Macaca mulatta: one gene and its partner. Each later gene encodes a partner of the first gene's protein in a complex. Links are inferred from orthologs where the notes say so. Each region holds a gene or a part of one and is shown on either strand. Other genes may lie near its edges.

Region 1 (2,992 bases):
TCAACTATTAGGCGGGCAGAATCCCAGTGAAAGGAGCCGTACCCGAGGCCCATCTAAGCTTTGGCTAGGGGTGGGGCAGATAAGCAGGAATCCATCCCTGTAGGCTCAATGCCAACACCCTTTGGTGAAACTCCTGATGAAACTTGAGGCCAGGGCCCCAGCAAGCAGGGAAAGAAGGTTGGCAACAGAGGTCTCCATCTGAGGACTCTGCCAGGGGTCAGAGGTGGGGTAATGGTCAAAAGGAAGGAAGTGGCTCATGCCCATAATCCCAGCAGTTTGGGAGGCTGAGGCAGGAGAATTGCTTGAGCCCAGGAGTTTGAGACCTGCCTGGGCAATGTAGTGAGATCCTGTCTCTATTTAAAAAAAAAAAAAAAAAAAAAAGGAAGGAACAGGGAAACTTCTGAGAGACAGGCTGGGGGAGGCATCACGTAGCTGGGATTGCTGCCCCATAAAACAGAATGGTATGTGTCACTGCCACCTCCCTTTCTCAGTCCTCTCTCTCCCCAGGTTGCTAGCGTCCCCCCTGGGGGATCAAACTGGACTGCTTCCCAGCCTCAGACAGAGAGCAGTCTGAGTCAGGCAGGAAAGTGGGACAGCCGGGGAGCTGGACCCCACCCTCTGTGAACCCCACTGGTACCTGATGGCATGTGGCTTGGAGAGGGCAAGTGACCTGGTGTGGAGGGCCAGAGGGTAAATCCTCAAACAAGTGGCAACAGGCCACCAACTTGAAAGGGAAAATTGTGTAGTGATGGGAAATGTGTACAACAAACCTACTGGGTGACTAATTACAAAGGCTGGGCTGGAGCGTCAGAGGCTGCTTGTTAAACACTTCATTAAGTGGCACTCTGAAAGCTGCCACCTGCGCATTCTGGGAGCTCAGAGGGGACCCTGAGGGGGAGTGAGGCCTGAGGGATGGAACCATCTTCAGGTAGATTGAGAAAGAGCCTGGATCTCACTTCCAAACACAGCCTGGAGCTCATAGGTCAGAGACTTCAACGGGAGAAAAGCTAAAGGAAGCAGGGTGCAGAAAGGAGTTTCAGGGAAGTGGTGGCTATGTGACTTTGAGCAAATCTCACCCCTCTCTGAGACTTAGTGTTCCCATCTCTGTGGTCCTGTGTGTGTCACAGAGACACAGTGGGGATTAAATTCGATGGTGAATATGAAAGTGCTTGGGAAACTCTATGGCCCTACCTAAACATGAGTTATCCTCACCTGAATCAAGGGGAGAAGTTACCTGGCAGGATTGGGAACCCCATCCTCCTGAACCTTTATGGGCTCTGTCGAGGCAGAAGCAGCCAGGGGCTAAAGCCGCCCTTAGCCTCTGTAAGGGCGCTGTGAAGGAGGATCTGATTTGAGAAGCCAGGCAGTTTCCTGATGTGAGCAGCCATATGATGCCAGCCCCGAACAAGAGGGGGCAGCCTAGAGCCTGGAAAGGTGCCTGTGCAGGTGGGGCCCACGCCCAGATTTCTTCTGCTGACTGTTCTGATGACTCACCCCCACATCCCAGCCTTTTTACCTTTACTGCAGAGCCGGAAAGGGTGTGGGGAGGAGAGGAGACGGAGGCAGGTCTTGGGCCCTGGTCCCGCCCCCTGCTCCTCCCCACCCTTCTCTGGGCCTGGCCACCCAGCCAAAAGGCAGGCCAAGAGCAGGAGAGGCACAGAGTCCGGCATTGGTCCCAGGCAGCAGTTAGCCCGCCGCCCGCCTGTGTGTCCCCAGAGCCATGGAGAGAGCCAGTCTGATCCAGAAGGCCAAGCTGGCAGAGCAGGCCGAACGTTATGAGGACATGGCAGCCTTCATGAAGGGCGCCGTGGAGAAAGGTGAGGAGCTCTCCTGCGAAGAGCGAAACCTGCTCTCAGTAGCCTACAAGAATGTGGTGGGCGGCCAGAGGGCTGCCTGGAGGGTCCTGTCCAGTATTGAGCAGAAAAGCAACGAGGAGGGCTCGGAGGAGAAGGGCCCCGAGGTGCGTGAGTACCGGGAGAAGGTGGAGACTGAGCTCCGGGGCGTGTGCGACACCGTGCTGGGCCTGCTGGACAGCCATCTCATCAAGGAGGCTGGGGACGCGGAGAGCAGGGTCTTCTACCTGAAGATGAAGGGCGACTACTACCGCTACTTGGCCGAGGTGGCCACTGGTGACGACAAGAAGCGCATCATCGACTCAGCCCGGTCAGCCTACCAGGAGGCCATGGACATCAGCAAGAAGGAGATGCCGCCCACCAATCCCATCCGCCTGGGCCTGGCCCTGAACTTTTCCGTCTTCCACTACGAGATCGCCAACAGCCCCGAGGAGGCCATCTCGCTGGCCAAGACCACTTTCGATGAGGCCATGGCTGATCTGCACACCCTCAGCGAGGACTCCTACAAAGACAGCACCCTCATCATGCAGCTGCTGCGAGACAACCTGACGCTGTGGACGGCCGACAACGCCGGGGAAGAGGGGGGCGAGGCTCCCCAGGAGCCCCAGAGCTGAGTGTTGCCCACCACCGCCCCACCCTGCCCTGCCCCCTTCAGTCCCCCACCCTGCCGAGAGGACTAATATGGGGTGGGAGGCCCCACCCTTCTCCCCCAGGCGCTGTTCTTACTCCAAACGGCTCCGTGGAGAGGGACTGGCAGAGCTGAGGCCACCTGGGGCTGGGGATCCCACTCTTCTTGCAGCTGTTGAGCGCACCTAACCACTGGTCATGACCCCAGCACTGCTCTCCGCACCGCTTCCTCCCGACCCCAGGACCAGGCTACTTCTCCCCTCCCTCTTGCCTCACTCCTGCCCCTGCTGCCTCTGGTCGTAGGAATTGAGGAATGTCCCGCCTTGTGGCTGAGAACTGGACAGTGGCAGGGGCTGGAGATGGGTGTGTGTGTGTGCGCGCGCGCGCGCCAGTGCAAGACCGACATTGAAGGAAAGCATGTCTGCTGGGTGTGACCATGTTTCCTCTCAATAAAGTTCCCCTGTGACACTCCTCCTGTCTCTCTCCAGTTCTTGGCGATGGGTTGGGAGTGG
Region 2 (3,160 bases), about 63 Mb from region 1:
AAAATAATCATTGTGGATTCCACTAAGTGATGAAGACAGCTCCAATGTATTTACTAGCTGTGTGAACTTAATTATTTATTCTTTTTGGAATGTTTGTTTCTTCTTTTAAGTAATAAGGATATAGTTCTTTCTTCATATGGTATTAAGCAAGAGATACAGATTTTTCTCTTTTTTTAGACGGAGGCTCGCTCTGTTGCCCAGACTGGAGTGCAGTGGCACGATCCTCGGCTCACTGCAAGGTCTGCCTCCCGGGTTCATGCCATTCTCCTGCCTCAGCCTCCCCAGTAGCTGGGACTACAGGTGCCCACCACCACGCCCAGCTAATTTTTTTTTTTATTTTTAGTAGAGACGGGATTTCACCATGTTAGCCAGGATGGTCTGGATCTCCTGACCTCGTGATCTGCCTGCCTCGGCCTCCCAAAGTGCTGGGATTACAGGTGTGAGTCACCGCGCCCGGCCAAGATACAGATATTTTAATAATGCCTGGCAGATAATAGCTACCTTGAATTGAAGGACATACTGATAAATGACTGAATGTTACACAACTGCAAATAAAAATCTTTTAGTGACCAGACTTGGCAGTAGCCAGTTCAGGCCGGACAGACAGGAATTGAAAAGTACAAGCAAGCAAGCAGGGTCCTTCCCCTGGACTTCATGTTCTCCCTGCCACACTAAGTTTGTGATCAGGGAGAATGGACAGAAAACAGAAAAACAGAAACCTCGAGGTGATGCAATTAGATACCTGAAGTTTAAGAGCGAGGGTCCTCTCTTGCTCTTTCAGCAACTGGGCCCTGTCCCTCTCCATCTTCTCAGTCAGTTGTTTCAAGTGTTCCTGATAACTCCTCTCCTTCTGTTCCATCATCTGCTCATTCTTTCTTTGCATTTCCTGCAACATTTTTGCTGAAGCCTGTGCAGACTCAGCTTTCACACGTTCCACTGTGGAGGAAAAGGAAGAAGAAAAATTTGTGTGGGGTTATCTTGTTGCCTCATTCTTCCTTCTACACTTACCTGTCGTTGTTGTTGACTGCAGATGCCCTACTCAGAGACGACCTCAGCAAATAAGACACACCTTTGTGGATCCTGCTCTAGTTAAACCGTCTCATGTTTATCTAGTCAAGTTATTTCAATTTTTAGAGCTTTTGAGGCCATCTAATCTCTTAACTCACTCCTCACCTTCAATCTCCTTTTCCTTCTCTGTGAGAGTCTGGTCTGTCTGTAGAATTGCATCAGTCATAGACTCCTTGGATTTCAAGTATGTCTGCAGAATCTCTTCAGCCTTAGGACCCAGAGAACACAGAGTGAGCAGTAGGAAATGGCTGGAAGCAGGTGTTCCTGTTCGTCTTCCTGCCATCCTTTCCTCTGGGAATTCTTCCTCTTGACCCTGTTGTTCTTGGTGACCAAATTCCCTGTCCGAGTGACAGGCACATGCTCCTGGCAAGCTGATCAGAGCATCCTACTTAGCAGTCATTTTTAGTAGGCTAATATAGATACTGGGAAAAAGATGGTCTCTGTCCTGTTTAGATTAAGGGCTCTAAGTTTGGAACTGGTAATGCTGTGGTCCCAGATGGGCTGAGCCTGCTGGGGAATGAAGCCATCTTTGAGAAAGCAAATATCAGAGTGACTCAGATAGAGGGAGGATGGGAGGGAGGAAACTGTGGGGATTTGAAACCTTAGACCCACCTGTCCTGTAAAGCCAGTTTGCAGCCTAAATCAATGAATTACTATTTTTGTCTAAGCAGCCATCATTAGGTTCCTCTCTCTTGCAACAGGAAAAGCCCAGCTGTAATGATGACAATAATAACTTTGTGCTTCATCTGGTAATTGAATTTATAACTCAATAGTTAATTGACTGTACTCTGTTTGATGAGCACCTAGGACATATTTGGTATAACAGTCTCTTTGCATTTGTTATTGAATAAAAGCATGAATGTTATGCAAACAAAAAAGCACACCTGTGTGCAACGAGACTTGGTCACCTTGGTGTTTGTAGGAGGCAGGTCAGCAGATTTCCATAACTGACAGATAAATCTTGGTTACCTGTATCCCCTTCCTTGGTTCCTCATGGTACTTTTTCTTCAGGTCTTGTAGCTTCTGAATAAAGAGACGATAGCCCCCTGGTTTCGAATAAATTCCCATCTTCACTTCTTCTTCTAGAGGACTGAAAATGTCCTGAAGTAAAGCTGAGCAACGACCTGATGATGCTTCCTGATTCTGTTTACAAAAGTCATCCCGCTTTTTTTCTAGCTGGGCCTTTAATGTAAAAATAGGAAGTAAAAAGAGTAACAGGGAAAAGGATGTGAGCTTGACCTCAGAATTTTGGGAAAGACTTCTGAAAATAAAAAGTCAATGACTCTGGAGAAACTGACAGACTCCTCAGCAGGAGCACACTCTTCCTCCTGACCCCACTTTCTACTGAAGTCGCTTTCTTTTTGGAGGTGAGATTCAGGGCTGAGATTGACAGCTTTATGGCAACCGTTAGAGGAAAACTCTGCTTTTGCATATTGGACTAATGATTTCATATGGAATAAATGTGGTTGATCAGAAGCGTGTTCAAGATAATTAGGATAAAAATTTTCTTTGTGTTTGGCTAGAATATCAAATCAGTCTGAGAAGAGTGGGCAGGTAATTTTATTAGAATCTCTGGTTGTCCGTTATATGCATAAGTAAAGGGAAAATTATTCAGGAAAAAATGTTTTAGAACTTTGGGTCTGTAATAATACAATTGGTGCTTCTGATTGATGCGATTACAAATCTGTTGTTTTCACCATTATGGAAGCTGGGAGGAATTACTTCTATCAGAATAAATACTCGTTTTCTTTCCTTTTCCTACTTTGGCTTCCATGATCCTAAACCGTGTAAATTTGAGACAAAAATTACCGCTAACTCTTTTTGAAATAGATGGTCCACATCTTTGAAGGAACTCCTGATGAAGACTTCAATGGCCTCTCTCTCACTGTCCCTGTGCAGGTCCAGCAGCTCCTGGAGGGTTTCCGTGGGCAGCTGCACCTTCTGGCCCATCTGCTGTTCGTAGTGGGCAACAGCCTTTTGCACTGCAGCTGAGTTCTCTATCTGGGCCAAGGCCAGGACTGCATTCTCCATGCAGGGCAGATCGCCACTGCTGATGGCATTGACATAGGTCAGCACCAGGCTCTCTAGACCT

What was found. The genes of interacting proteins can lie anywhere in the genome.
Region 2: the proteins of SFN (region 1) and GBP1 are in contact, whole or in part, in a cryo-EM structure (PDB 8Q4L), measured with the Homo sapiens proteins. The link is inferred for Macaca mulatta from reciprocal best matches to the Homo sapiens genes SFN and GBP1. Residues at the interface, in NP_006133.1 of Homo sapiens: Glu14, Gln15, Ala16, Glu17; in NP_002044.2 of Homo sapiens: Lys210, Gly211, Thr212, Ser213.

What each region holds. Positions count from the first base shown.
Region 1 is NC_133406.1:214,122,291-214,125,282, reverse strand, and holds SFN (14-3-3 protein sigma), read left to right. Parts: upstream 1-1,655; 5' UTR 1,656-1,720; coding exon 1,721-2,467; 3' UTR 2,468-2,492; downstream 2,493-2,992. UniProt on the Homo sapiens protein: Adapter protein implicated in the regulation of a large spectrum of both general and specialized signaling pathways. Binds to a large number of partners, usually by recognition of a phosphoserine or phosphothreonine motif.
Region 2 is NC_133406.1:151,528,220-151,531,379, reverse strand, and holds part of GBP1 (guanylate-binding protein 1), read right to left. Parts: intron 3,159-3,160; coding exon 2,878-3,158; intron 2,251-2,877; coding exon 2,038-2,250; intron 1,277-2,037; coding exon 1,174-1,276; intron 937-1,173; coding exon 743-936; intron 1-742.